Linked DNA regions of Arabidopsis thaliana. The protein of the gene in region 2 interacts with the protein of the main gene of each other region in a pairwise test. Each region holds a gene or a part of one and is shown on either strand. Other genes may lie near its edges. The genes, in order: AT1G33110, GCL1, GRF5 and AT4G18205.

Region 1 (8,937 bases), on a different chromosome or scaffold from region 2:
CCGTAGCAACAGCCCTCTTAGCTTCCAATTTTCGTAGTACCTCAAAGACATGATTTAGCTTAGAGATTTTTATCTGAATATAATCAGCTTAGTGTTGAATTTGAGTTATATATACTCTTTTTCTCTCGGTGTTCTATTGTATTATGTCATTATGTGTGTAGAACTAGAATCGTCTCCTTTGCCCGTAAACATAGCCAAAATATTGTTAGTACCAAGAAACGTAAATTTGGCCATGCATATATATATAATTTACTCCATTTGTTACTACAGTTTTTTGGATTTGTTTGGTGACTTTAAAAATGTTTTCATGTTCGTGACCTCATGATGATGATTGATCGATTGTGAAAAAAGGACAGCTTTTGTAAGGAAATACCGATCTAATACTACAGTGACGCGACTGCTTACGTAGACTTCTTTGCCTCCTCTTGTCGTAGCTTTGTTTTGTTTTTTTCCTTTAACAAATCCTTATTCACAACCACAAACCCCTTTGTTGTTCATATGATCATATAAAATAGAAATATGCATACATTTCTTTTTTATCTTTAAATGTCATTTGCAGATTTATATCTATTTTTTTCTACAATTATTTATTAAAATTTAAATGCCAAATTGGTATCAACCACTAATTTGGGTTTAAAAACAAATACATATCTTTGTTGGATCAGAAGAATAGTTGTGGTATTGAACCGTTGGATTGAACCAGAATGTAAAGATTAAACGAGACTTCACAAACAGAACAAATAATATTTGTTCGGGAGAATTCTCTAATCTATATAACAATATCTTAAATAATTTAATTTCTTAAGTCTTTCTACCAATTTTTTTTTTTACAACCATATTTCATTAAGAAAGTTCAAAGGACTACTACAGAGGGAAGCCCAATTACTACAATGAAAATACAACCTAAGTTTTAAGAAAACCTAGATGCTGACACGTGTTGAAGTCTTCTGCTTCATCAAGCCACGCATCAGTTGATCGAGCGCTGCCGTGTTTTTCTCGCCAAACATCACCGCCTTAGATCAGCCACCGTCGATCCGTCGTGGAGCGATGGGTGGTTGCCTCCTGTCTGACGATCTCGAACCCAAGCCGTAAACGCCGAGAACCTCCAGATCTATCATATGGTATGCTTCAAGAGTTCTCCGAGCAAATCCAACTCCTGGGAAGTTCCATCACAGACAACACCTTTACTGATGCAGTCGAAACATTGCTCCAAATTCACGAACAAAGAAAGATAATGAAGATATTACTCCTCGAGATGATTGGGAGGATCGGATGAACCTCGAGGGGCAGTTGGACAAGAGATTAGTCTCGCCGTCGCGAGAAAACAAAAACCGGACTACTCTAGTAGACTGACATCCGACTAGAAGTCGAAAACTTATTTAAATCTAATATAAATCTATATCTACTAAATCAACAGTCACTTTATCACAAACTGCAACATTCTCCTGTTTACACGTAAGCAAAGTCTTAATTTATTGAGTTTTGATTTTTCTGAAGCGTAAAACAATAATTCTTTTCTCATTAACATAAATTATTAAAGAGATTTAATCCATAATTTATTTCTTTCTTTCTCGCCATCTTCATCACTATCTTCCCCATTCCCCATATCTTGCAACAGTTATTGCTAATTTATGTTGTTTCATCTTCTATGCAATTTTCTAATTACGAATCTCAAATTTTTCACATTCGGATCAGTTATTTTCTTTTCCGCCTGCTTTACACCATGACGCCATGGCAGATTAACAATCCTTACATTTTTTTTGCTGCTTGCCATTCTCAAACCAAAATTCATCTCACTCTCCCTTCTCATTCGAGGTCAGTTATGGCTGAAGAAGAGGTCAACCACAACGACTGTATATTCAATTAAGGTATCAAATTTGTAAAATTTCTGAATTATTATAATTTTCAGTTTTCCATATATTGTTTTGGCTTTCAGTTTTAACATCATTTTCTTTATACTTTGTGAATTATTACAATTTTCATCTAATCACATCTCATTGTTGGCTATTAATGTTGTCAAGAGAAAGTGTTTGAGAATCTGACTTTAAGACGACATGGGTTTCGTTTTCAGGATCCCGTGTGAAACATTTTCAGAAAAATAAAACTCTTACACGATCATGAGTCATGACTAACCCAATGACATGCTAAGGTTATCAATTCTCAATTAGTTCTTCCTTTATTTTTTATTTAAAAAAATAGTTGATCTTATATTTTTAAACTCAAATATAGTGCTAGACAAATTGACTTTTTGATTTTGTGAAATCACAGTAAAACAAAAAACGAAGCCATACAAGCACAAGATGTACTGATATACACTAGAGAAAACCAAAATTTTTTCAGTTTTAAAATGGTGATATAGATGAACACAAGAGTCATATATCTGAAAAGCTGAGACTATACGACAAAGGAAAACAGAAACAGAAGAAAAAGATATCCATAAGGTTGTAAAACATGTTTTCTCATGCAATTGAATCTTCAATAGAATTGGATTGATTACAAATTTATGGACCATTGGATTTTTGTTATGCTAGAATCTTTAGAACTTTGGAAATTTCGAGTTATGAGGTTTAGAAGTTAGGCATTATTGAAATTGTACGACGAATAGACTATATAGAGAATATATATTTTATTTTTTATTTTTTGGGCAAAAAAGAATATGCTTTTACCTGTTTTTCTAAAAAAAAGTTATCTTACACAGGACACACTAAAGATAACGCTTTCAAACAAAAGAATTTATTTTTTATCAAATTATTTTTGTCCCGAACGTAGTCCAGGCTTCATACTAGTAATATTTATAAGTCCGAATAAATCCGAAAATAAACCCAGACGATATAGAGCCTCTTCTCTCTGAAAAATTAGAAGAGATAAAAGAAAAGAAACTCTCTTGTATTTTGCAAGATTTTATTTTCGGTTTAACGGAAATCGCCTGCTCCCCAAAAAAAAAAGAGTTTTTTTAACTGAAATAAGTCTTTCTACCAATCTTGTTAGCAGAAAAATGTGACAATAGTAGTAGTTCGATACGCTCGTGACTTGATTCTTGTCTTTTTATGGTTTATGGTGTAGCAAAATTAAATAATTGTTAGTTTTTCTATTTTATTATATAAAACAATATAGAATGATTTAATTATTTTATTTCTTAGAATGTTTTATAAGTTTCAACTTTCAATACATGACTATTTGTATTTTATAATTGGTTGAATCAAATATCAAATAATAAATTTGTTTACTAAAACATTATTATATATTTTCTATATTATGAAACATAGGTAGGTTTGTTAGTCAAAATAAATGGTCTATAAAATGCAAGATATCTTAGCTAGGTGTCTATAAACCACTCACTGCTACTTGCTGCTTGGCGTAGACGGCTTTTCGTTTCCCAATAAAAATGACGATTTTTAAGCAAACAAAAAAACATTAATCTATAAAGACAACAAAAAAAACAGAGTTGTTCTCATAAACCAATTCATACACAAACACTCTAGTCTCCTCTCTTTTTCTCTGCCTTCTCTCTTTTATTTATTCCCTCCTTCCCTCTGGTCCTCCATCAGATACAACAACAGAGACTCCAAGATGGCCGGAGGAGGAGGAGAGCTCACGGCGGCTTTGTTGAAAAAGACGGCGGAGAACGGCGGAGAAGAGAAGGATGAGTTAGGGTTGAAGCAAAAGGTTTGGATTGAATCAAAGAAGCTATGGATTGTGGCGGCGCCAGCGATCTTCACGAGATTCTCAACGTTCGGAGTTTCAATAATAAGTCAATCTTTCATCGGCCATCTTGGTCCTATAGAGTTGGCTGCTTACTCTATCACCTTCACCGTTCTCCTCCGGTTTAGTAATGGTATCTTGGTGAGTACTTTCTTCAATTATTACTCTCAATTTTTTTACCAACAAGTTAAATCATTTCTTCAAACATTGAAATCTTCGTGATACTATTACTGACCATTCATAAATTAAACGCGTTTTTTGTTTGTCATAACCCTTAGAAATAACTTTTCATTAATCTATTTACCGGTGATTGCCTTAGAATGCATAACTATGCAATAAATTAAATTGTGGTACCTTACTGAAAATAGAAAAGAAAACATTGAAAAATGATTATGACAAGTCTTTTTTCGGGAAAGAATAATTTCTCTTTTTTTTCTGTTCAACAATTCCTTTTGTTGCACATTAAATATTATTGACTAACAAATGAAAAATCAGAAATATAATTAATTCTTCCAAAACTCAATAATAAAGCACAGCATGTTTTTGATTGGTCAGAATTAAGAAGAAAAAGAAAAAACAGAACTACTGATTGTAATTTATAAATGGTTCCTTTTGACGGATAATTGAAATAACATAAATCATGTGAGTCCTGACAGTTGACACTGCTTGACGTAACATGCGGTGGTTTCTTGCGAACCACATATCAAATTTGTAGTCTCTTCTCGTATTTTCCACAATTTTGTAGAATAATGCAGTAGAGAAATAATTCTATACCAGTTTTTAAAAAGTTAAAGGGTTTATTATACAAAAAGAAAAAGAAAAAGAGAAGGGTTTATTATACTATAACCTTAAAAGAAAAGGTGTAGGAAAAGTATTGCAGTTGATAAATTATTTTTGGGAAGACAAGTTTGACAAGATTTTTCAATGGCAGTCCACTTAGGAGGCGTAACCACTCTCCACCCTGAAAATCAAAAGTTGTTTCATATTTTACATGTTTTCAGTATACAACTCCAAAAGTACCATCATATCAAAATTTTGTCGAAGCTTTTAAGCCATACACTAGACGCCATAAAGAGCCAAAAGAGAGACAAATAGGATCTAATTATTGAACTATCAGACAAAAAGAAAGTTTTGAACTCTTTTTATATACCTTCTAATCAAAGTCAAGTCACTACACTGTAACAACGTTTGAGCTAGATCCTGATAATTTTACATACTCATCAAAATTTGGTTCAGTTTATATGGTCTTGAATGATTTTGTATGGAATGTTATTTTGGCTAACATTTATTATGAAGCTATGTAGATGTCTCAACTTTGGTTATTATAACTATCGTGTAATAACGAACCGTAATGCAGTTAGGTATGGCCAGTGCATTGGAAACACTATGTGGTCAAGCCTACGGAGCTAAACAAAATCATATGCTCGGGATCTACCTCCAAAGGTCATGGATCGTCCTTACAGGTTGTACCATTTGCCTCACGCCCGTCTATATCTTCTCTGGCCCTATCCTCTTAGCCTTAGGTCAAGAGGAACGCATTGTCCGTGTGGCTCGGATCATAGCCCTATGGGTCATAGGCATCAACTTCTCTTTTGTGCCTTCCTTCACTTGCCAAATGTTCCTCCAAGCTCAGAGCAAGAACAAGATCATTGCCTACGTGGCTGCTGTCTCCTTAGGGGTCCATGTCTTCTTGTCGTGGCTACTTATGGTTCATTTCAATTTTGGGATCACTGGTGCTATGACCTCTACGCTAGTTGCGTTCTGGTTGCCTAATATTGCCCAACTCTTGTTCGTCACGTGCGGTGGGTGTAAGGACACATGGAGAGGATTCTCTATGATGGCCTTCAAAGATTTATGGCCCGTCTTCAAACTTTCTATGTCTTCCGGTGGAATGCTTTGGTAAGGTTTCCTCTATTTTTTTAAGCAGCAAACCATATAATTATCAATTAGTCTAGGATTTGATCCTAAAGTTTTGGTTACAATAGAAATTCATATGAATAGCTTTACATGTAGGTGATATGAAGTTTCTAATTAAACTAGTAAGAGTCAAGTCAAAACCACATGCTCTTAAGTTTTTTACTTACTAGGAATGACTTTCAAAGACTGACAGTTTGAAATAATCAATGTCGTATAAGTAGACTACCTTACTAAACTATATTTACATGTACGCATATTGAGAAGTTTATGATTATACAATAATAATTATCACTTTATGGCCGTTATTTTGGGCAGCTTGGAACTATGGTACAACTCAATCTTGGTACTGCTCACTGGAAATTTGAAAAACGCAGAAGTGGCTCTTGATGCACTAGCAATCTGGTAAACTAACACGACATGACCAATACCGATTAATTCAAACATCTATTCATTTTATTTAAAATGTAGTATGCGTAAATAAACTATTCTTAACCATTTATTTTATATAGCCTCAACATAAATGGACTGGAGATGATGATAGCACTTGGGTTTTTGGCAGCTGCAAGGTACATACATATATTAATTCATACATATACACTTCACTTTATTAATTCTATTTATGTATCGGTCTTCTTCCTTGTCTTTTCTCTAGCGTAAGAGTGTCCAACGAGCTCGGTAGTGGAAACCCCAAAGGAGCCAAGTTTGCAACACTAACCGCGGTTTTCACATCACTCTCTTTAGGAATAGTTCTATTCTTCGTCTTCTTGTTTCTGAGAGGAAGAGTTTCCTACATTTTCACTACAAGTGAAGCTGTCGCAGCCGAAGTTGCCGATCTTTCTCCGCTTTTAGCCTTTTCCATCCTCATGAATAGTGTTCAACCCGTTCTCTCTGGTATGTATATTAGCTAGTTGGCGCGAGATGGTTATTATTACAGTATCGAATATAAACCGATATTTGAAATATTATGTGTCTTGGATCGGTTTTAACCTTAACAGGAGTTGCCGTCGGAGCTGGATGGCAAGGATATGTTACTTACGTTAACCTTGCTTGCTATTACCTTGTCGGAATTCCTATTGGTATTATCCTTGGTTATGTCGTTGGTTTGCAAGTGAAAGTAAGTTTTATTTTCTTTATAATTTTCTCCTTCTTTATAACGGTCTTGAAAACAAAAATGTGTGAAAGTAAAAAAATTAACATAAAAAAAGTTATTCTCTAAATTTTCTTAGGGCGTATGGATCGGAATGCTCTTTGGAATATTCGTTCAGACTTGTGTGCTTACCGTCATGACTCTGAGAACAGATTGGGATCAACAGGTTATAAATCGATTACTATGTTTTCTAATTTGTTCCTAGCAAGCTATGTTTTTGGTGCTTATTCTTATACCGTTTGTTGCCAAATATATTAGGTGTCAACGTCGTTGAGACGTTTAAATCGGTGGGTTGTACCAGAATCTAGAGACGTAAACCAAGTATCATCAGAGGAATAAATTGGATTCTAGATTGTCTTTAGCACCGTCACATTTTATTCTTAAAAGCTAAAATGTAACTTTTAGGCTATGTTCCAAGATTGTGAAGACAAGAATATGACAAATTTGGGTCGATTTGATGTCCTCGCAACTAACTTGTAATAAGATTCTAATGTTTAACCAAAAAACGAAAACGAGATCCTAATTTTTGGATTAACACTAGATAGTGTTACATTTAGCTATGATTCATCAAACACAAAATTATTTTGGGGTTTATAACCAAAAAAATAAAAATAAAAATAAAAAATTTACTATTTATGTGAAAAGAATAACAAAAATTAAAATATTTGGGTGACCTTCTCAAATAGTATAGAAAATCACACCAATTTTATTTTGTACTATTTGAGATATTCATGGTAAGAAACCATAGAGCGATGCTCTAAAGTCTAAATAGTGACAGTTTGGTTTTAAAACATTTAAAACAAATTTGTTGACTAATAGAACTGAATTTTTTTTTGTCTCATTTAACAACTGCAATTGTAACATATATATATTTTTAATAGAAATAAATTAACAAACTTTTTTTGATGATTTATGAAAACTATTTAATGATATAAATGTTTGGATACTAAACTTGAATTATTTCTCCGTCGGCTTTGTTTGAAAATATATAGAAAAAACAATTAACGGGCCATGTGCTTGTTGCAAATAATCTATTTATTTTTCATTTTAGGAATTTTGTTTCTCGGCACGAGTTGGGCTGATTTTGATAAGCCCACATGACATTGTTTTAGGGTTTCTGTTTTTCTTCTTTATACTTTTTAAAACGCGGCCAGTGAATAATTTTCTAAGGTTTATGCTTTAATCAATGAGATCAGTTAGAGAGAGAGATAGAGAGTTTTGTACAGAAAAACTCCATAGTGGTTCATATTCACAACTTTATCCTTCAAGTCCAAAAAATACAAAATAATCTTATGAAGTCCAAAATAATACGCAATATAATCTTTTTTTCACTATTGTCAAATTTAAATTTTTTGATAAATAATATACCAAATCAAAGATCTCTAGATAAGGAGTTCAACTTTATCTTCAGAATTCTCAAAAACTAATGTATGAGATCGTGAAAACATTCTAATATATGTAAAATTAAAAAATGGACTATATTGCGTATTATTTTGTATTTTTAGGACGTATAGGATAAAATTATAAAAATAGACGATTTTAAGGTTTTTTTTCATAAAACCTTTTTTTTAATACAAGTTAAATAATTTTTTTGTAAATAATTTTTTGTTGGAATGTCAAATTTATTCAACAAAAGAAAATGATTACAAAGAGTTTTGAAAGCTAAAAAATAGAGAAAATAAACGTGAAAAGTAGAAACAAAAATAATGGAATTGGCGCCACTTACATCATTACAGAAAGTTCAAAAGGCCTAATTCTGACACAATATTATTAACGGGCCATGGGCTTAATGACAATAATAAACTTTTCTCACTTTTGAGTTTTAATAAGCCCACATTTGCTTTAGGGTTTCTGCGTCTCTACCTTTAAATTGCTTCCGACGATTCATAAACTAGGGTTTCTGCCTTTAGCCGTCGTGAGAGAGAGAGCAAATCGAAGAGAGAGCAAAGAGAAAATAATATGTTGTTTGCGTTTGGTACGGTGACTCGATCTGTGGCTAATTCAGTGGTGGTTTGCTACGGCTTTCTTTCGACAATGGTGTTTTCTTTCGACCTAAACTTGATAGACCGAACCAAACTGAACCAATTTTTATATATATTTACTCAATTAAATCCTAAACTCCTCTATTTGATCTGAACCCGATCAACCCGAATACATAAATATCTAATCTT
Region 2 (7,836 bases):
TGCAATACTTAGCAGTTGGATCATGCATTTTTTAATAGAAGAGCTAATAACAAGGTATGACATGCAAAGCCAATATATAAGCATATCCGATCATAAGGGACAACTTACCAGTTTCTGTGCATCATGATGAGAAGGATAAGACCGAGAAGACCAATGAATCCCAGTACTAGATAGAAAACTAAGTTGACATGCACGCTAGTCTTCAATCGCTCAGACACGGTAAAGTCTCCAGCATCTTCGAAACCCTGAATAAGGGGCACCACAGCCCTGTTTAGAGGTAACATAGTTTAATATATGAGGTAATGTACATCTATAAGCTACAAAAACAATGTAGATGGATTGTGTGAGTGCATTTTAAATACTGCCAAACAAAACAAAATTTACGCCTTAAAGATAACAACCATGTAGATGAACTTATTTGACCTACACTGGACACGTCCTGTCATGTTAACTAGGTAATATTTTCAAAAGTAATCTGGTTTCACCACCTAATATTGGATTTGATCAAAAGACAGACACAATATTCTGAAAATATGGGGGAAGACGTGTCAGGTAAAAAGCACTGAAAAGCTTGACCAGTTCATACCAGGTGAGTAGAAACGTACTCCAGTATGACCAACTCCATAAGAAGGAAATGGCGCCATTCTCAGGATGATCAGGTTGCAGAGATAGTGTCTGCAGAACATAAGAAGACAAATGAAGCAAAACAATTTCATATGAGACATCTCCTAGTTATTCTAGTTTGGTTTACATCCAAATCATACATGGCAACCAAAATCTAGCTACCATTGAAACTTTCCCAAAAACATTCCTCAACAGCTCACAACCATGAGAGACCAAAGCTATCTATCCATAAACACAATTTGTTTGACTACCAAATCAACTAAGCTTCATGCTTAAAAACCTTCAGTGAGTATTTCAAACTCTTTCACCACTAAATACTAATTTCAATATAGGTCTAACAAATGCGTATAAGCCGTATTCAAACACCACATTCTTCAGCTAAATCTCAATTCAACGTATGATCCTATGAAACTTCCAGGCATCAGAAAGAACCCTTTAATTATAACCGACGATTCAATTCCAAATCAAGTAAGACGACTCCTAAATTCAAAATCGTAAGCTCGTAAAGGCCAATTCGATCAGAATCGCACAAGTCCGTATTGGCTGAAAACATGGAAAGTAAAACTTACCGTCCAAATGTCGGCAGGAGCGAGGATGATAACGGAGACAGAGCAGAACCAGGTGTATCCAACGGTGATAAGAACGTACCGAGGAATCTCCGGTCCGGCGAAGTATCGGAGCGTGAAAACAACTAATCCTAGGGTTAGAGGCAACGAGATCAGATAGAAAACCCACATCTCCCTCTATCTCGATGCAGAGAATTCAATTAACAAAAATCTGAAACAACCACGAGCTTAGGGTATCGATAAACGCCGCTGCGAGATCGCTCGACTCGTCTATATGTACGTTAGCGCGTGAGAGTAACGCGCCGGTAAGAGGAAGGTCGCTCTCTAGTTTGTTGTTCCTTTTTTTCGTTCTTCAGTTTCGTTTCCTTGGTTCGATCTCGGTTCGGTTCATTGACGAAGAAGAAGAAGCAGCTTTTTCCACGCTCTAATGCTTTTTTAAAAAGAAAACGTAAATATTTATCTTCGTTATTTGGTGAGAGTTGAGAATTGAGAGACTTTGAGAAGAATTAGTCTGATTAATATTAAATAATTTCAACCATCAAATCTAAAATTAATATTTGTTTGCGTCAAATTTAATCCATTAGTACTCTGATAAATATGATTTTAAGTTGTAAGGTAATTGGTTGTTTCAGAAAGTCAAGGAACACATTTTTTTTTAATTTTTGTTTAATGAAAATGCTTAATTCTTGCGCAAGCACGAAGTTTTTGATATCATGCTGCGCATTTTCGCATGAAATTTTGAATTTTCTGTTTGTTTTTTTTGGGTTTTCATAATTAATTATTAATTAGTTGTCTTAAAAAAAAAACTCCACTATTTTTAATTGAATAAAATGAATTTCAACAAAGTTAGGCCTCTAGGAACTGGGCTGCACTTTACAAAGCCTGATATTGATGGTCAGTAACTGGGCCTGGTTACACCTACAAATATAATTTGATGAATTAAATATGGGCCGTCCGATCTATAGAGACTACATGCGTTTTACAACATACGGGGTTTAGGTGTTTAATTAACACGCGTGAAAGAATATCACATGATTCACGTTTTCCAAACGTGTTTACAGGTCAGCAGCTAATACACTGATTCATGTTCAATAAGTGACTATCTAACCAAATGTATAATTCGTAAATTGACAAGAAACACATTTCGACGCGTTCACACTCACCTATTTTAAAAATATAACTAATTGATCCGTTTATCAACTAAAACATTACATATTCGATTAGTTTTTTAATCGTCTGATATAGTATGAGATTCTCAAATCTCTGCACTTTTTTATTCCTTATTTATAAAGGTATATAACATCGAGCGTTCGTAGTCCATGCCATATCCCCTAAGCCAGATCTAACGGCAAATCGATTCGTAAAAATGATAGAGCCGACAAGATGCTGACACGTTTAGGCTCTGTCTACCGGTTCACGTGTATTACGGTCATGTCCTGCAACCAGAATCCAATACCCTAAACCCCACTTTCAGCTTTTCCTTTGTTTCTTGATACTTTAATAGAAGCATCACATTTATTTTCCAAGATGCTTAAGTCATTATTTTAAAGACTGGTAGGTCCTATACCCAAATGCACAAAATTACGAAAACACGTGTGGAACTGCTAAAAATCATACTCAAGTACCTAACATATTTATTAACTACTGAATTAATCCAAATAAATTACTAAAATATTTTATACCAAAACTAAACTAAAAGGTGATTCACAAATTTCTTTTAAAAGAAGAAAAATCCATTACAGTAATTTTATTTGGTCTAATAGAACTAAAATAAATAAAGATAAATAAAAAAACAGAAACTATATAAATAGCGGCTGTTATAAAAACTACAAATAAATATAACTCCCGTATTTGATTCTTTCTTCAAGATATCAATCAAGATCAAGAGTAAGACAGAGACACAAAGGCGAGAGCTATGTCGTCGTCGGTGGATTTCGTGACGGAACAGGGGAGATGCGGCGACGATGGTAACGGCGCCGGAGAGACAGTAAAGAATGGCGAAATTGATCATTTGCTTTCCGAACCGTCGGCTCCGACTATTTCTCTCCCTACGGAATCTTTCCTCAGAGCAGCGACGTTACTCAAGAACCAGGTGCGTTACGATAACTATGCGACGCCCCAGACGGCTAATGTAAGCCTAGTCCGTACGTTCGCTCATATATGTTTTTTGGTCGATGTATGTATAGGTTGTGGAGGCCACGTGGAAAGGTGGTGTCGAAGCTCTTGCCTCTGGTTCGGGTCCAGTGCTGGATCCGACTGTGTACACAGGACTACTCGGCACAGCGTTCACCTGCTTGAAGTCGTACGAGGTAACGCGGAACCATCAAGATCTGCTAACTTGCGCAGAGATAATCGACACGTGTGCCAACGTTGCGCGTGCCACAACCAGGTGAAAATATCTTCGTCACTAAGTTGCTTAGCCAAGTAAACATCAAATATCATCTTCCATAAAAAAAAAAAATGGAATCTAACCATTTTAAAGAATATTCTTAATTAAAATCTGTCTGATAGAAAACACATGTGTGAGATTGAGTCATTACAAAGATGTCACTGTTTAACCAATTATAGTTTATAGAAAATTATGTATGTATGAACGAATTTTCAGGTTCTGGAATAATAACAATATCTACACACCCATTAGAATGGACTTGTCATTTTCTAACAAATTATTGGACTTGTTATGCTCATGAATAGGCACGTGACATTTTTATGTGGAAGAGGAGGAGTTTGTACGCTTGGTGCAATTGTAGCCAATTACAGAGGGGACCAATCAAAGCGTGACTTCTTCCTCGGTCTTTTTCTTGAGGTTCCAATCTTTTTGACTTCATACACCATTTCTTTTGCTTACAACACTTTCAGATAAAAGCTATAGATTCAGTATTTTGATCCAACGTGTCATATATTAACCCTTAAGCAAGATTAGTGAAGTGACGAGCCTTTAAGATTTGTTATTCTTACAAGCAGCTTGCAGAAGAGAGAGAGTTACCAGCAGGACCAGAGGAAGGAGGATTTGGGATGTCATATGACCTTCTCTATGGAAGAGCGGGTTTCCTTTGGGCTGCTCTGTTCCTAAACCGATATCTCGGCCAAGGAACTGTTCCTGACCATCTCTTATCACCCATTGTTGCAGCCATCTTAGCCGGTGGGCGAGTTGGAGCTGCAGATCATGAAGCTTGTCCTCTGTTATACAGGTTTCACAAAATAGCTATAGTTTGTTAAAAGAGAATCCTGTTTATCTTTAGTAGGAATTGATCTTACTTTTGTGGCTTTTAGGTTTCACGGAACGCGATTTTGGGGTGCTGCGAATGGATTAGCTGGAATCTTGTATGTATTGCTGCATTTTCCACTATCGGAAGAGGATGTTAAAGATGTTCAAGGGACATTGAGGTATATGATGAGTAATAGGTTTCCGAACAGCGGAAACTACCCGTGCAGCGAAGGGAATCCGAGGGATAAGCTAGTCCAATGGGCTCATGGAGCAACCGGCATGGCCATTACTTTGGCTAAAGCATCTCAGGTGTTTCCCAAGGAAAGGGATTTCCGCGAAGCAGCCATTGAAGCAGGAGAAGTAGTGTGGAAGAGTGGCTTGGTGAAGAAGGTAGGTTTAGCTGATGGAGTTGCTGGTAATGCCTACGCTTTCTTATCCCTTTATCGCTTAACCGGAGATGTTGTATATGAAGAGAGAGCAAAAGCGTTTGCGAGTTACTTGTGCCGTGATGCGATAGAGCTCGTGAATATGACAAGCCAAGAAACAGAACATGATTATTCGCTATTCCGGGGACTAGCTGGACCAGTATGCCTCTGGTTCGATCTTGTGTCGCCGGTAGATTCTAAGTTTCCTGGTTATGAGATATAATTTAAAACCAGGTAACCGTAGGTTCTTTTATGACTATCTCTTTGTGAAAGGATCTTAGGTTCTCCGGTTTATTCCACTTTCTATAATCTATTGAAGTAACTTGAGATTTGGGAGAAACATTCATAGAAAACAAGAATAAAAGTAACATGAAAAGATCAGCTTAATGGTTTAAACGGTATTGGTAGTATCACTCAGACAACGGAGAATGCAACCGAGACCAGCTCTCTCTGTTAGTTTCTCGTGAATCATCAAACACTGTTCGCATGTGGGTTCGTCACCAGTCGAAAGACCTCTGTACAAGTACCTGATCCACACCATTTAAGCAAACAAAACACTGCTTCCACATCACGCTAATTAAAAGCTAGCAGAGCAAAAGGCAAGAGACTTACTTCATGAGAATGTCGTAATACTCGGCAGTAAGAGAATTTAACATTCCTTCGATATCCTTTATCGCCATGATAGCTCTGTGCACAACTATCCAATTAGCTGACTGCAATTTCACAGATATTTATCATAAATTACACAATCTTTTTGATCATGAACAAACTACTTATGTGCATGGTAGAGGAAACAGTAGGACCTTGCAACGTTCGTCGAGAGTTTTAGGTGGCGAACCATCAAGAGCCGTTTTAAGAGCTTCGACATGTTTGTAGCTGAATAAAACGAAGTAACAATTATAGCCTAGGTCATCTGAGAAAGTTGGAAGAAAAAAGGAACTTTAGGGTTATTACTGTTTGAGTAAGCTTTCAATCTTCTGCGATTTGGTTTCGATCCTTGCCATTATTTCCTCTGCATTATCAGCTTCAACAAATGCTGCTGCACCAGCCATTGGATCTCTCTCTTTCTCTACACTCTCCAGCAAAATTATCTAAAACCTAATCAATTAATTTCATTTCTTCATTCAAATCGACAACTTGCTGCATAAGAAACATATGATTTGAGTTTACTAACCAAAGGAGGCAATGCAAAACTTGTCATCCCCATAAAAAGCTAAAAAGAGAAGTAACAATCACGACAAAATCAATTCTAATCACGTAAAACAATCCATTGCCGATGGTACGCAGATTTCTCACATCATATCAGATCAGTAATCCTGAACTTTCTGATCAAATCATACAAGATTGAAGAATCAAGCAGGATTCGAAGATTACCTGAAATTAGAGAGAATAAAGCAATCGAGTGGTAAAACGGCCGAGTGAGAATTTATCAGAACTGTGATACCAATTATTAAAATCGGATGCTTCAGTTTTTAATTTTTACTTTTTCACATTGACGTAACAAGAGAAATAGAAAAGTTGTTATTGCTGGTATATATTTGTAATTAACAAAAATGTAACAATAATCTTACAAATGTAGAGAGAATAAAAACATGTTGATCAAATTAATATCCAATTTTTAAGATCAAATTAAGATCGGTTTGTTATACTTGGATTCAACACCCCAAAACCCCACAAAAACTGCTCATTAAGCAACAAATGAATCACACAGCTCTAGATAGGAGAAATATCCCAATCAGAGTCTTTAAAACATCTATATATTGTTGTTATCAAGTAACATTCAAGAATTGAATTGGTTTATCTAAGAGTTACAACACATGTTACTCTTGTTTGGTATCACTTGACCAGGACCTGGAACAATATCAATCTTCTTACCAGCAAGCGACCCGGGATTACCATTCTCTTGATCTTCACTCGCAGCCAGACTTTTCTTGTTCACAATGTTGAAGATCTCAGTCAAAACCGTGGAGAAAGCGCTCTCAACATTGGTTGCGTTAAATGCAGATGTCTCCAAGAAGAACAAACCTTCTTTCTCCGCAAATTCTTTCGCATCTTCTGTCGGTATAGCTCGTTGATCCACAAGATCTGACTTGTTCCCAATAAGGATTATCACAATGTTCTTATCTGCATGAGCACGTAGTTCTTCTAACCATCTTGGGATATGGTCAAAGGTTTGGCGTCTGGTTATGTCATACACCAACATCGCCCCAACCGCTCCTCGGTAATATGCACTTGTTACTGCTCTGTATCTGTTTCAACCAATACCACACATATAGAAAGATATACAATGTAAGCATATGATAAGCATGAAATGTGGTGGTTAGCTTACTCATTAAAGATCAGTGAATGTATAAAGTTGATGAAGCATCACTGGGAAATGTATAACAAAAGTGTCCAAATTTGTACCAATCATAAAATTATAGAAGCTTAATAACATTGGAATAGTAATATACATAATTCTAGTCTATACATAATTTTGAAATCCCAATCCCAAATTCTCAATGATTCTACCATTTTACTTCAGATCCTCCCAATTTCGTATACAGATCAGTAAGCTTTACTAGAATTCGAAATCCTAAGCAGACCTATCATCTTCCAGATCTAGAGAAACAGTAAAATCTTACGAGATCTAAGTTCAAGCAATTGAAGTAGCTAAAAGTTCCGGGAGAGGTCGGAGATTACCGTTCTTGGCCGGCGGTATCCCAGATCTGAGCCTTAACACTCTTGTGATCGATAACAAGCGTCCGAGTCTGAAACTCAACGCCGATGGTGGCCTTAGAATCCAAACTGAATTCGTCTCTAGCATAACGAGCCAGTATCTGTGATTTCCCAACCGCGGAATCGCCGATCAACACCACTTTGAACACATAATCAATCTTCTGCGACGGATCTCCGTATCCTCCTCCACTAGTCATCTTCTTCAACGTCTCTCTCTCGCTAAATCCTCTCTTGCTAAATCCTCTGTTTTAAGCTTTTACCGAAAAGTGAGCTTTTTTGAAGTTTTAAACGCAGA
Region 3 (7,384 bases), about 21 Mb from region 2:
ACAATAATCCATGGAGACGATTGGCAGCATTAGTTTTTAGTTCTGGGACACTGACTGAGCTTGTCTATTCTTTTGTACCTAATTTCTCTTGTTTAGAAGCTGTTGAATCTAATTACCTTTCCTCATGTGTCCAGATTATTGGTCTTAGAAGAGCAAAGAGGAGGAACATGGAACGTTTAGTTTTGGCCTGTGGTGGAGAAGCTGTGAATTCTGTTGACGACTTGACCCCTGAGTCTCTTGGATGGGCTGGACTTGTCTATGAGCACGTTCTTGGGGAGGAAAAGTACACCTTTGTGGAGCAAGTGAAGAATCCTAATTCATGTACCATCCTCATAAAAGGTATTAGGACGACTTTTATGTCTTCATTAAGTTTTGATGGTTCATTTGTTCTTTTAGTAGTTTTAGTGTTCATTCATGAATTTCTTGGGTTTTGTAGGGCCTAATGATCACACTATTGCCCAAATTAAGGACGCTGTTCGTGATGGTCTGAGATCGGTCAAGAACACCATAGAAGACGAGTGTGTTGTGTTAGTAAGTACCTTATATATCTTGAAGTTTTTTTGTTAACATTGCTTTATGTTTCTCCGCAATATCAAAGAAATTGTTAATTCGTGATCAAAACCCTGGGTAAGGTTAGCATATAGACCTATTGTATATGTTTTGCGTTATGTTAATGTGTGGTTGCATGTTTCTGTAGGGAGCAGGAGCTTTTGAAGTTGCAGCAAGGCAACACTTACTCAATGAAGTCAAGAAAACCGTTCAAGGGGTAAGTTGATTTCTTCACTCGTACTCTAATTCTCGCAACATTACTTAATGCATCCCAATATTCTAAATTGCTAATACTATCATGAACATTGCAGCGTGCCCAACTTGGCGTTGAAGCTTTTGCTAATGCCCTTCTCGTGGTGCCTAAGACACTTGCAGAAAATGCAGGTCTTGATACCCAAGATGTGATCATTTCTCTTACGGTATGCATTCATCTCTCTTATCATCTTCTGCAAACTGAAATCAATTGTTGAAGGAACAAAGAATTAGAATTGCTCATTGTGATGCGCTTATGCAGAGCGAGCATGACAAAGGGAACGTTGTGGGACTGAACCTTCAGGACGGTGAACCTATTGACCCGCAGCTTGCTGGTATTTTTGATAATTACTCAGTGAAACGCCAACTTATCAATTCAGGGTAATGTTCGACCCAACTAGTCAATTCTAATAAAAGCTTTGGGTTTCGGTTGAAACCATTTCAATAACCGGCTATTTGTTTGTGTTGCAGGCCAGTGATTGCGTCGCAATTACTTTTGGTGGACGAAGTGATTCGTGCAGGCAGAAATATGAGGAAGCCTACTGCTTGAAGTCCTTTGCTTTTAACTTGGTTTCTAATTTGTAAGCACCTCAAATTTTGTTTCTTGGTGTAAATCCTGAATATTGTGAAACATATGTTTTTTTTTTCTTTTTGGCAATGAAAAACATATTTGAATCTGATCTTTAGATGTAGTGGATCTTTTGCAAAATGATAAAAAATAGTAATACAAAATCTATTTGAATCTGATCTCTAGATTTAGTGAATACACCCATATTTAAGAAAGGCCACAGTTTATTTATAAAAAAGGATATATTTTGGTTCGCAATGAACAAGAAACAAAGCGAGGACATTATATTGGTCGTACTCAAATCTTTTGTTCAACAAACATCTATATGGCCGAGGCTGAGACTTTACCCTCTTCTTGAACCATATACGCTCTCTTCATTTCCTCCAAGACATTGTCATTGGTGCTGCAGAATCAACAAAATAGTTTCATGGTTAGACAACATTTAAGCATCGGCCCAACAAGGGAGACGTTCATTAGGGAGTCACATAAAAAGAACTTGTGCACCAAGAACAAGACTGTGCTACACCGATATAGAAGATAGTTATTACTTCTCTTTTATCGCAGTATCAAAGAATCATCAATCATCCCCTTCTATAAGCTTATATTTGGTTACATATATATACTAGCACTGGTACGTCATGATAACGTTATGCATCTCCTAACCACAAGTTGTCTCATTTCATCATATCAGACTTACCAGTGAAGGGTATTAAGAAAGAATAATCAAAATCAGATGCCCCCATACACAACAAATCTTTATACGTAACAGTGAAAAAAAGATGACACCTCTAATGGAAGGAGCACTAAAAACTCGAAAAACTTACAATTGATGGAGGCAAGTGTTGAGCTCCCTAGCTTGCTTACGACATGTCCATACCACAGAAAAAGTTCTTCCTGTTGCGCATTGAGCATACTTGGAGACGTACTGATCACATTCCATTAATGCCTTTGCCTTCATCTTGCTACGCAGCGCTAATAACAAAGTATATACATAATCAATCAAACAACCATTTAACAAAAAAAAACCATCACCATTTCAACTTCAACACAATCTATAAGCTCAATTCATAGAAGCAATTTGACACACTCAATGAGAGCTTGCTAGATCAGATGCAAAATATGGAGTTACTACCAAGGGTTTATGAGAACCCTAATCCTCAATCTAGCAAAAGAATCTGCGTCTATGATAAGAAACCAGGCTTAAATAGTATCGATATGGTTGATCTCATTTTCGAGGCAATAAAAAAACCATTTGGGGGTTTAGGGTTTTAAAACATAGCGAGATGAAGAAGTCACGACATTGTCAAATTACCTTCTTCGACCTTCTTCTTCACGTGATTTTCACGAGCTTGCTCCACATAGCTACCCATTGACGACGGACCTTCGAGCTTTTCCGGCCTTCTCCGATCAATTCGATCAAAAGGGCAAAGGGGACTAGAAATGGGTTCAGGGCAAAGGGTAAATCCGTCATTTACCCCAAGGAAACTTAACTTATATTGCCATTTTGCCCCCTTAATATTTTTGTATTATATGAATGACCTTATTAACTTATGATTCGTCACATTTCACCCACTTCAATTTAAAATTATGGACGAGAATTAAGTCCTTTGACGGTCAACAGATTAGCACGTGTCGTATTTTAATTGGGTCGTTGCCCCTCTCTCTCTCTTTACTCTTTTCCCATTTAATGGTCACGAGACCGTCTCCCCCAAATTTCTCACTTCCCCTAATTTCGCTTCGAATTCAAAAGCCCTAATTCGAAAATTCCCATTTCTCAAGGTACGGTTCCGATCTTCCTTGCTCATACTTCGACAATGTTTTTTCTGCTTCTCGTTTTCTGCGTTTATTGTTGATATGTTGTTGATCTTCGCGTTTTGGTCATCACTTCAAGATCTGTAGGATTCAAAGTTCGTTCTATCGATTTTGGATAGATCTAGCAGTGTAAATCGTTTGTCAAAGTTTTTTATTCTTTGGGTGCGTGGATTAATTTTGTTAGAGATGATTGTTATCGTTGCTCTTGAATGCAAGATTGTTGCAGCATTACTGAGTTCTATTTCGTGCTCTTTGTTTATTGCTGCTGCTTGATATTTTCTTGTTGAAAACAGGTTTTTAAAAGAGTATTGCAAAGATGTCTTCTGATTCGTCCCGGGAAGAGAATGTGTACTTGGCCAAGTTAGCCGAGCAAGCTGAGCGTTACGAGGAAATGGTTGAGTTCATGGAGAAAGTTGCAAAGACCGTGGAGACCGAGGAACTTACTGTTGAAGAGAGGAATCTCTTGTCTGTTGCTTACAAGAACGTGATTGGTGCTAGGAGAGCTTCTTGGAGGATTATCTCTTCCATTGAGCAGAAGGAAGATAGCAGGGGCAACAGTGATCATGTTTCGATTATCAAGGATTACAGAGGCAAGATTGAAACTGAGCTCAGCAAGATTTGTGATGGCATTTTGAACCTTCTTGAGGCTCATCTCATTCCTGCTGCTTCTTTGGCTGAGTCCAAAGTTTTTTACCTGAAGATGAAGGGAGATTATCATCGGTACCTTGCTGAATTCAAGACTGGTGCTGAGAGGAAAGAAGCTGCTGAGAGCACTCTTGTTGCCTACAAGTCTGCTCAGGTTATCATCTTGTTTCTTCTTCTTAACCATATAGAGTGCTAAGATAACATGTTGTCTCATGCTATTGGTGTTTGTGTTTTTATGTAGGATATTGCTCTTGCTGATCTGGCTCCCACTCACCCAATCAGACTGGGGCTTGCTCTTAACTTCTCTGTTTTCTACTATGAGATTCTCAACTCATCTGATCGTGCGTGTAGTCTCGCAAAGCAGGTCTGTGTTACTTTTTCATTTATGCTATGCTTTCTGTCATTAACTAACAAACCTATATTCCAACTGTTTTGCTTGATTAAACTTAGCACATAAGAGGTTCTTTTTTTCTATCTATCGTTCATAATGTGGCAAAAACGTGTTACGTAGTTAACTTGTTACACTTCCATGTGGGTAGACTTTCCATATGTTCTAGTAATGGTTTGTAGATTGCTTACCATAGCCTGACCGATAGGGTTGTAGTTAATTTTGATGATGGGCAGAATTGGGAAACTAGATCCTGTGAATGGTTCCATACACTAGTGAAATTTGGACAACCTTCACATTCGGATTCTAGTTTGATTCAAGTACCTTTTGTTTAGTTACTAATATGATTTTTCATGGTGGTAGGCTTTTGATGAGGCAATCTCGGAGCTAGACACATTGGGAGAGGAATCATACAAGGACAGTACATTGATCATGCAGCTTCTCCGTGACAATCTCACCCTCTGGACTTCTGACCTCAATGTACTTGTCTCTCTTTACACTCATCATTGTTAGCAATATCTTAGTGATTGCATCATGCAGTTAAGATTCTTGTTGGTTTTCGCATAACATTTGTGTCTAATATCTAATCTCCAGGACGAAGCTGGTGATGATATCAAGGAAGCCCCGAAAGAGGTGCAGAAAGTTGATGAACAAGCCCAACCACCACCTTCGCAGTGATAAAATCAGATCCATGGAATGATTTGCAGACAAAAAAATATATGGCTTGGTTCTGTGTTTTTAAACAGAAAAAAACCTTGTAGTTTCCTTAAACATGGGCTGTAGTTTCCTTAAACATGGATTTGTAGTAGTAATTGTAGCTGCATGATTTGGTTATCGATGGTTAAAACTCTTTGTGTGCTTCTCACATGTTTTGGTTGTTGTCGTTGTTGCCGGTTTCACTATTAGACTGCATTGCATTACATGGTCCGGTCTAAAAGTTGAAAACTTGCTTCCTTCTCTGATTGGGGTTTAGTTGTCTTTTAGATTATGCTTCTCTAGGTGGAATGTTCCCCAAATGGAATTGGTTAAGACTCAAGAGAGTTGTTCAATGAAACGAAATAGAAATGGAATTTCACAACTTTAAACGAAAGATAAAGCCTCTTTCGGTTTGGAACAACTGTTAGGTAACACATATAATGGAATTACAAATCATAAATCCTCCATGACCATAAGCTAAAAAGTTGGATTAATTAATAAATGACATGGGAATGGGAGGTAACATTAACTGGTCCAAAATAAATAATTAATGTAATGACACATTCACATAATAATATCTCGAATTGAAATCCCACCGAGAGTGCCCTGCTTTTCCACTGAGTTTCTTCATATATATCTCTTTCTCTCTCATTTGTAATTGTATCTCTCACTTTTGTTTCAATGGCTTCAGCTACTTCCGTCATAGCCTGGTCATTTCTCTTTCTATTCTACCTCTTTGTTTTTCTCCATTACTGTTTCTGACTTGTGCTATTGCTCCTTCGTTTGATTTTTTGGCACAGGGGTTCTGGAGAAGATGGGCAACTAGGACTTGGAACCGATGAAGAAAAGGAATTGGCTTCCGTCGTCGACGCTCTTGAGCCTTTCAACGTTCGCTCCGTCGTCGGTGGTAGCCGCAATTCCCTCGCCATTTGCGATGATGGCAAGGTTACTTATCCAATTTCCTTTATGTGTCCTTGTTGTGTCTTCTTTGGTTGGTTTCGCTTAGAACTAACTAAAGTACAATGCTTTGCTTTGATTTTGCGATTTGATTCTAAGCCATGTCTTTAAGATTTTCTTAGTTCGCTTTACATAGGGTTTTTGAGATCTGTAGGACCAATTAAAAAGGGTTTAAAGCTCGTATTTTTTTTCTTGTCCTGAAGTCCAACTAAAATGCAACCAATATGTTTGTCTGAGGTTACTCTCGAATAGATCATCAGACTCTGGTTCTTGTCTCCATGGTGTAGTTTATGATTGATGTGTCACCAACATATAGAAATAATATGGTCTCTTAAATGGTTTCTCAGCTGTTTACATGGGGTTGGAATCAAAGGGGTACATTAGGACACCCACCTGAGACAAAAACAGAAAGCACCCCAAGTCTAGTTAAGTCTCTTGCCAACGTCAAGATTGTTCAGGTAAAACTTCTTACAATTATTTAAGTATTTTTGGCTCTAATGCTGTTTCCTCGTTGTGATTTACTCTGAATTGCCGTTTCTGTAATTGATCATAGGCAGCTATTGGTGGCTGGCATTGTTTAGCTGTCGATGATCAAGGCCGAGCATATGCTTGGGGTATGCATTTTCTCTCTCAGCTTCTTTCTAATGATTGTGACCTCAATGATCTTAATGATCTTAAGTTGTTCACCTTTTTGTTATATAATCTACTTAGGTGGAAATGAATATGGACAGTGTGGTGAAGAGCCTTCCAAGGATGAGACAGGTAGGCCTGTGCGGAGGGATATTGTAATACCTAAGCGTTGTGCCCAGCAACTTACAGTCCGACAGGTTACTTATGCTGCTAACCTCTCTTCATTTACCTCAATTTTTAGTTCTCTTTTTTTCCTGTCTAAACCATCTGTTCTCGGGTTTGTATGATTAAAATAACAGGTAGCTGCAGGGGGTACTCACTCTGTGGTTCTAACCCGTGAAGGTTATGTATGGACTTGGGGTCAACCGTGGCCTCCCGGTGACATGTATTATCCAAATTTCCTTTCGTTTATGGATACGACATTTGCATTTTCTTGTCTTCTGTTGGTTTATATGGTGTTTCCTGTGTATCGCAGAAAACAAATTTCTGTTCCTGTAAGAGTTCAGGGTCTTGAAAACGTTCGTCTGATTGCTGTGGGAGCATTTCATAACTTGGCTCTGAAAGAAGATGGGACTTTGTGGGCTTGGGGTAATAATGAATATGGACAACTTGGAACTGGAGACACACAACCGAGATCGTATCCTATTCCTGTCCAAGGCCTTGACGATCTCACTTTGGTATGTAGTCTAAGACTTCTGGTTTAAGCACTCATTATTATAACTGATGCCTTCAGATATGTGAACTATAAAGGCCTATGTTAAAGTTTAATTCCTCCTCTGAATTCATGTTAGGTTGATATCGCTGCGGGTGGATGGCATTCAACAGCTTTAACCAATGAAGGAGAGGTATTAGAAGTCATACATTCTCTTACTAATCTAGGGTCTCAC
Region 4 (6,816 bases), on a different chromosome or scaffold from region 2:
CTTCACCATTCTTGGATCAGTTTACATCGTTACTGGACTATTAGTGTCTGCTAACTCTTATATGTCCTCTGTTGGTTTACTATACTTACCAGTTTCTACTTTCTCCCTCATCTTGGCCTCACAATTGGCCTTCACTGCCTTCTTCTCATATTTTCTAAACTCGCAGAAGTTCACACCTTTCATTGTGAATTCTCTGTTTCTCCTTACTATTTCCTCTGCCCTCCTCGTGGTCAACACTGATTCGGAAAACACAGCAAAAGTGTCTAGAGTAAAATATGTGATAGGGATAATATGTACCATTGGTGCTTCTGCTGGGATTGGATTGCTGCTATCCCTGGTACAACTGATCCTCAGGAAGGTTTTAAAGAAGCAAACATTCTCAACGGTCACTGACTTGGTCGCTTACCAATCTCTAGTTGCAAGCTGTGTGGTTCTCATAGGACTTTTCGCAAGCGGGGAGTGGAAAACTTTAACAAGTGAGATGGAAAACTACAAACTGGGGAAAGTGCCATACGTTATGACTTTGGCCTCGATAGCTATTTCCTGGCAAGTCTACACCATTGGCGTCGTGGGACTGATCTTTGAGTCATCTTCTGTGTTCTCCAATTCCATAACTGCTGTGGGATTGCCTATAGTTCCAGTTGTAGCAGTGATTGTTTTCCATGATAAAATGAACGCGTCAAAGATCTTCTCCATCATTTTAGCTATCTGGGGATTCATTTCATTTGTCTATCAGCACTACCTCGACGAAAAGAAGTTGAAGACTAGCCACACAAGTCCTGTAGGAGATCCTCATCTACTACCTGCTGAGGAAGGTCACACAAACATACATAGTGTATGATCAAAACATATTTCCAGTGTAAAGCCAATGTATCTTTGTACAGTTTGAGCATAGATATAAAAACGTGTATCTCTAGTCAATCATAAGTAACTGATAAGTTTTGTACATAAGATACCAATAGTTCGGATCTTTTTTACTTCTATATACCGGAGATACCCATAACTTAAAGATGCAAATGCAATACTCTGCTTTGTCATTTTGCAATGCATTTGAATCACCAAAAAACAAGAGCAAACATCGATAGCAGAGAGGCAAATAGGCTAAAGCATCCTTGGAAAACCAGAGCTTTGAACAAAAAAAAAGAAACAAGTGAACAAAAATAATACCCACTTACCTGGAAGCCACTGACATAACAAATAACCAATGTAGTGACTTGAACAGTGCCTTGTAAAAAGACTCCTTAAAATACCAAAAACGTATACTCCAGGAGCTTGGATTCTTGTATCTTTGTTGACTTCTGATTAAACGTCAGTAGACACTGAGAAAATAAAAAAAATTCTCGTAGAGCCGCCATTCAAAAGTTTCAAGAATTCCACAAGTCAAGTGTAAGCAAATAAGAAAAGTCACCGGTCAACATGAGACTACTAAATAATGATACTGCTACTGTCATCTATCGCCTGCCCCATCCATATAATACGATTTACTAAAAGCCTGCCATGTTTGATAATGCAACTTGTGTAGGGTATTTAGATGTTTTTTTGTAATACCATCAATGTGTGTTTAAAGAAAGGCCTCTTGTGTATCTGCACGACATCTCAAACAAAACCAATCAATAAAAACAAGAAACAATCTTCTTTCTCATGGACAGATCTCAAGAACACTATGCCAATGGTAAGAAGAAGCACCTGATAAAGTTAGATCCTTGAATTCATTTTTTCATGAGATATAATAAACATGAGTGTTAATTTTTCAGGTGACCAGAACTTAGAAGCAAACCTTATAGATCATGAGGTGGTAACTGAATCATCATCATCAGCTGTGCCTCAAACCGAGAACTATAAAAGGTGGCTTCGTGTCTCCATATACGTAATCTTTGTCCTCTTTTGCCAGCCACTAGCTACAATTCTGGGTAGATTGTACTATGAAAATGGAGGAAATAGCACATATGTGGTAACACTTCTTCAACTCATTGGCTTCCCTGTACTGGTTCTGTTCCGCTTCTTTTCTCGAATCAGGCAACCCAAATCAACAGATACAAATTTCAGTCAGTCCCCTTCCTTCACCACCCTTGCATCGGTTTACTTGTGCACTGGACTGCTAGTGTCCGCTTATGCTTATTTGTCTGCAGTAGGGTTGCTCTACTTACCAGTCTCTACTTTCTCCCTCATCTTGGCCTCACAGTTGGCCTTCACTGCCTTTTTCTCATATTTCCTTAACTCGCAAAAGTTCACTCCTTTGATAGTCAGTTCTTTGCTTCTCCTCACTGTATCCTCTGCTCTTCTTGTGGTCAACACTGATTCAGAAAACTCAACTAATGTATCTAGAGTACAGTATGTGATCGGGTTCATATGTACCATCGGTGCTTCCGCTGGGATTGGACTGTTACTATCTCTGATACAAATGCTCTTCAGGAAAGTTTTCACGAAGCATACATCCTCAGCAGTCACGGACTTGGCCATTTACCAGTCTCTAGTTGCGAGTTGTGTAGTTCTCATAGGACTTTTTGCAAGTGGAGAGTGGGAAACTTTGCCAAGTGAGATGAGAAACTACAAACTCGGGAAAGTGTCATATGTTTTGACTTTAGCCTCGGCAGCTATTTCCTGGCAAGTCTACACTCTTGGTCTTGTGGGATTGATCTTCGAGTCATCCTCTGTGTTCTCCAATTCCATAACAGCTGTGGGATTGCCTATAGTTCCAGTTGCGGCAGTGATAGTTTTCCATGATAGAATGGACGCATCAAAAATCTTCTCCATTATTTTAGCTATCTGCGGCTTCCTTTCATTCGTCTATCAGCACTACCTCGACGAAAAGAAGTTGAATACTAGCCACACAAGTGCTGTAGGAGATCTTCATCTACCTGTTGAGGAAGGTCACACAAACATACAAAGTGTGTGATCAAAGCATATTTCCAGTATAAAGCCAATGTATCTTTCTTTTTTTCCCCTCAAAGGCCAAAGCCAATGTATCTTTGTACAGTTTGAGCATAAAAAACGTGTAACGCTACTTTGCAAACTAGTCAGTCATAATAGCTAATAAGTTTTGTACATATGATACCAATAATTTCAGAATATTTTTCTTCTATATATACCAATAAGTTTTCTTAAAGATGCAAATGCAATACTCTGCTTTGTAATTTTGCAATGCATTTGAAACACCGAATCAAGAGCAAACAACGAAGTCAGAGAGACAAATAGGCTAAAACAGAGCTTTGAGCAAAAAAAAAAAACAAGTGAACAGATATAATACCCACTTACTTGGAAGCCACTGACATAACAGATAAACAATGTAGTGACTTGCAACAAAACTCCTTAAAATACCAAAAACGTATACTCTAGGAGCTTGGCTTCTTGTATCTTTGTTGACTTCTGATTTAACGTCAATAGACACTGAGGAAAAAGAGTTCTCTTAGAGCCGCCATTCAAAAGTTTTAAGAATTTTAAGTCAAGTGTAAGCAAATAAGAAAGGTCAATGGTCAGCATGAGACTACTAAATTATGATACTGCTGTCATCTATCACCTGACCCATCTTTATTATTATACACAAATTAGTAAAAGTCTGCCAAGTTTGATTAGTGCAACTTGTATCTGGGGTATTTAGTTACTATAATAAATATCATTTTGTGTATAAAGAAAGGTCTCTTCTGTATCTAAAAGACATATCAAACGAAAGAAATCAATAAACACAATATTCTTTCTTCCAAATTTTCTCATTTCTCATGGGCATATCTCAAGTACACTATTGCAATGGTAAGCAAAAGGTACCTGATGACGTTAGATCATTTGATCCTCTTTCGATGAAATATAATAACCACGAGTGTTAATTTTTCAGGTGACCAGAACTTAGAAGCAAACCTTCTAGATCATGAGGAAACTGAATCATTTTCAGTACCTCAAACGAAGAACTGTAAGAGGTGGCTCCGTGTCTCCATATACGCAATCTTTGTCATCTTCTGCCAACCACTTGCTACAGTTCTGGGTAGACTGTACTATGAAAATGGAGGGAAAAGCACATATGTGGTAACACTTCTTCAACTCATTGGCTTCCCTGTACTGATTCTCTTCCGCTTCTTTTCTCGAATCAGGCAACCCAAATCAACAGATACAAATTTCAGTCAGTCCCCTTCCTTCACCACCCTTGCATCGGTTTACTTGTGCACTGGACTGCTAGTGTCTGCTTATGCTTATTTGTCTGCAGTTGGGTTGCTTTACTTACCAGTCTCTACTTTCTCCCTCATCTTGGCCTCACAGTTGGCCTTCACTGCCTTTTTCTCATATTTCCTTAACTCGCAAAAGTTCACTCCTTTGATAGTCAATTCTTTGTTTCTCCTTACGGTTTCCTCTGCCCTCCTCGTGGTCAACACTGATTCAGAAAACACAACAAATGTATCTAGAGTACAATATGTGATTGGGTTCATCTGTACCATTGGTGCTTCCGCTGGGATTGGATTGGTACTATCTCTGATACAACTGCTCTTCAGGAAAGTTTTCACGAAGCATACATCCTCAGCAGTCCTGGACTTGGCCAATTACCAGTCTCTAGTTGCAACTTGTGTGGTACTCATAGGACTGTTTGCAAGTGGAGAGTGGAGAACTCTGCCAAGTGAGATGAGAAACTACAAACTGGGGAAAGTGTCATATATCTTGACTTTGGCCTCAGCAGCTATTTTCTGGCAAGTATACACTGTTGGTTGTGTGGGATTAATCTTCGAGTCTTCTTCTGTGTTCTCCAATTCCATAACTGCTGTGGGACTGCCTATAGTTCCAGTTGTAGCAGTGATAGTTTTCCATGATAAGATGGATGCATCAAAGATTTTCTCCATCATTTTAGCTATCTGGGGCTTCCTTTCATTTGTCTATCAGCACTACCTCGACGAAAAGAAGTTGAAGACTTGCCAGACAAAACCTGTTGAGGAAGAAACACAAACTTTATGAAACAAGTTGTATCGAAGGTCTCAGAAACAAACATACATAGTTGTACACAGTCATGTAAATAACCTATATAAAGCTTGTATGTGTAATATCCGTAATGGTCCATGCAAATGGGATATGTATGTCGCTCATATTTCAGGTATTTAGAACTTTTATTCAAAAGAGTATTGTGTAATACGAGCAGAGTGATAAAAGCAGTCATTTATTTAACAGAAAAACCATGTCAATTTTGTGATACTTTCATTGTGTGAGTGTGAAACCCGATAAAAATTGACCAGTTAGCATAACTTACAGATATGTCAATGCAATATTCTCCTTTCTAGTTTTGAAATGCACCTAAATCTTGGGAAACAAGAACAAACAGCAAATCATGTATAATGAGAGATAGAAGATAATTTGTCAGATTGGTCCAACATCCTTGGGGAAACAGAGCTTTGAACAAAAAGTAAATGACCAGAAATAATACCATTTTATATAGCGACTTCCTCTGCCGTCCAGTATTAAGTTGTTGCGAATGTCTTCTCTTGAAAAGATAGGCGAGACATAATCTTTAGCTAACGTCAGCATCATCTTGATGGCAAAAACTTCATGACTAGCCATGGAAACCGAAGTGTGTACCCAATCCAAATAAATTTAAAAAGACAAATAACTTTTAGAAATGTCGTCCTCATCAAGATCACAGAATACTACAACTTGTGTACACGTTCATACATATGCGTATGCGTGTTAAGTTTCTATTTGTCTATGCGTATGGGGTTCATGTCCTCCACATAGTTGCAGAAGAAAGTCTGAATGAATATTGCCTACACATAATTTCCTCCTAGACTTAACTCATCTCTTGGTCAACAATAGAGGCATCTTTGCATGTAGAAAGACTACAGATACTAAATTCATGGAAAGAGAAGAGATATGGTTGGCATTTACTGAATGTGGGGCCAAGAACAAAGAAAACTTAGACGGTGACCGATTCCTAATCCCAGAATATATAACTTAGCATATCTCACCCATATCAAAGGAGCAATCACTTGGTAGCATTATCAACCAAGAGAATTGATAATAAGATACGTTAGTTCCTCCTTGTCCATCTCCAAGGTGGTGATTCCACATCCACCATGACGGCGGATCAAGAACTACAAATCATTGGTGAGTAAGCATAAACCAGTTTGTGGTGAACGTCCTATTCTTTCATCTTCAAAAAAAAAAAAGATGGTTATGATATTTTATAATTCAATATATGAAACGATCGACAACAAATAAACTAATTTTTGCGTTATTTTCACTCACTTACCAGTTCGGCAGGGAAAAGAACCAAATCCAACAGTTCAAGATGAAAGAAATTCAGTCAGTAGCAGCCAAGCAGAAGTATCTCACTCTAACACATACAAACGGTGGCTCAGGGTGACTTTATATACATTCTTTGTCATTTCAGGCCAAACAGTTGCTACAATTTTGGGCAGAGTATACTATGACAACGGAGGAAACAGTAAATGGCTAGCAACGGTAGTTCAACTTGTTGGCTTTCCTGTGCTACTTCCATATTATATCTTGTCATTTAAAACACATGCAACAACTGATAGAGATGGAAAAAGAACCTCACCTAGGAACCGTGTATTGGTTTACGTAGTGCTTGGACTTCTTGTAGGAGCAGATTGCTATCTGTACTCCATTGGACTTCTTTACTTACCCGTTTCTACCTATTCCCTGATCTGTGCATCTCAGTTAGCCTTCAATGCTTTCTTCTCTTATTTTCTTAACTCACAAAAACTTACCCCTATCATTTTAAATTCTCTTTTCCTCCTAACTATATCTTCCACCCTACTTGCATTCAATAATGAGGAGACAGACTCCACAAAAGTTACAAAAGGAGAGTATGTCAAAGGTTTCATA

Evidence for each region.
Region 1: the proteins of GCL1 (region 2) and AT1G33110 interact in a protein complementation assay, tested with the Arabidopsis thaliana proteins (one large-scale study listed by BioGRID).
Region 3: the proteins of GCL1 (region 2) and GRF5 interact in a protein complementation assay, tested with the Arabidopsis thaliana proteins (one large-scale study listed by BioGRID).
Region 4: the proteins of GCL1 (region 2) and AT4G18205 interact in a protein complementation assay, tested with the Arabidopsis thaliana proteins (one large-scale study listed by BioGRID).

Annotation. Positions count from the first base shown.
Region 1 is NC_003070.9:12,001,514-12,010,450, forward strand, and holds AT1G33110 (MATE efflux family protein), read left to right. Parts: upstream 1-3,340; 5' UTR 3,341-3,570; coding exon 3,571-3,843; intron 3,844-5,059; coding exon 5,060-5,601; intron 5,602-5,934; coding exon 5,935-6,021; intron 6,022-6,128; coding exon 6,129-6,185; intron 6,186-6,271; coding exon 6,272-6,510; coding exon of another isoform or gene 6,511-6,527; exon of another isoform or gene 6,528-6,614; coding exon 6,615-6,733; intron 6,734-6,845; coding exon 6,846-6,932; intron 6,933-7,024; coding exon 7,025-7,105; 3' UTR 7,106-7,339; downstream 7,340-8,937. Other genes in the region: AT1G33102 (uncharacterized protein), read right to left, coding at 1,020-1,118.
Region 2 is NC_003076.8:26,083,339-26,091,174, reverse strand, and holds GCL1 (GCR2-like 1), read left to right. Parts: upstream 1-2,897; 5' UTR 2,898-3,105; coding exon 3,106-3,282; intron 3,283-3,376; coding exon 3,377-3,579; intron 3,580-3,650; exon of another isoform or gene 3,651-3,870; coding exon of another isoform or gene 3,871-3,884; coding exon 3,885-3,996; intron 3,997-4,154; coding exon 4,155-4,381; intron 4,382-4,463; coding exon 4,464-5,046; 3' UTR 5,047-5,214; coding exon of another isoform or gene 5,215-5,350; 3' UTR 5,351-5,435; coding exon of another isoform or gene 5,436-5,536; 3' UTR 5,537-5,582; downstream 5,583-7,836. Other genes in the region: AT5G65290 (LMBR1-like membrane protein), read right to left, coding at 109-267, 587-675, 1,194-1,361; AT5G65274 (ARP2/3 complex 16 kDa subunit (p16-Arc)), read right to left, coding at 5,215-5,350, 5,436-5,536, 5,627-5,699, 5,778-5,875; RABA4a (RAB GTPase homolog A4A), read right to left, coding at 6,625-7,072, 7,506-7,738. UniProt on the Arabidopsis thaliana protein: May play a role in signaling. May be not involved in abscisic acid (ABA) signaling.
Region 3 is NC_003076.8:5,241,516-5,248,899, reverse strand, and holds GRF5 (general regulatory factor 5), read left to right. Parts: upstream 1-3,061; 5' UTR 3,062-3,148; intron 3,149-3,157; exon of another isoform or gene 3,158-3,343; intron 3,344-3,474; 5' UTR 3,475-3,497; coding exon 3,498-3,980; intron 3,981-4,067; coding exon 4,068-4,190; intron 4,191-4,577; coding exon 4,578-4,694; intron 4,695-4,808; coding exon 4,809-4,892; 3' UTR 4,893-5,345; downstream 5,346-7,384. Other genes in the region: AT5G16070 (TCP-1/cpn60 chaperonin family protein), read left to right, coding at 135-339, 437-531, 698-766, 861-968, 1,064-1,182, 1,273-1,351; AT5G16060 (Cytochrome c oxidase biogenesis protein Cmc1-like protein), read right to left, coding at 1,691-1,772, 2,194-2,341, 2,682-2,739; AT5G16040 (Regulator of chromosome condensation (RCC1) family protein), read left to right, coding at 5,592-5,620, 5,711-5,855, 6,215-6,325, 6,421-6,481, 6,579-6,694, 6,797-6,882, 6,973-7,174, 7,289-7,342. UniProt on the Arabidopsis thaliana protein: Is associated with a DNA binding complex that binds to the G box, a well-characterized cis-acting DNA regulatory element found in plant genes.
Region 4 is NC_003075.7:10,070,134-10,076,949, forward strand, and holds AT4G18205 (Nucleotide-sugar transporter family protein), read left to right. Parts: upstream 1-3,577; 5' UTR 3,578-3,716; coding exon 3,717-3,747; intron 3,748-3,829; coding exon 3,830-4,932; 3' UTR 4,933-5,237; downstream 5,238-6,816. Other genes in the region: PUP8 (purine permease 8), read left to right, coding at 1-841; PUP7 (purine permease 7), read left to right, coding at 1,642-1,672, 1,755-2,896; AT4G18203 (uncharacterized protein), read right to left, coding at 2,611-2,787, 3,319-3,366, 3,518-3,526; PUP10 (purine permease 10), read left to right, coding at 6,042-6,072, 6,221-6,816.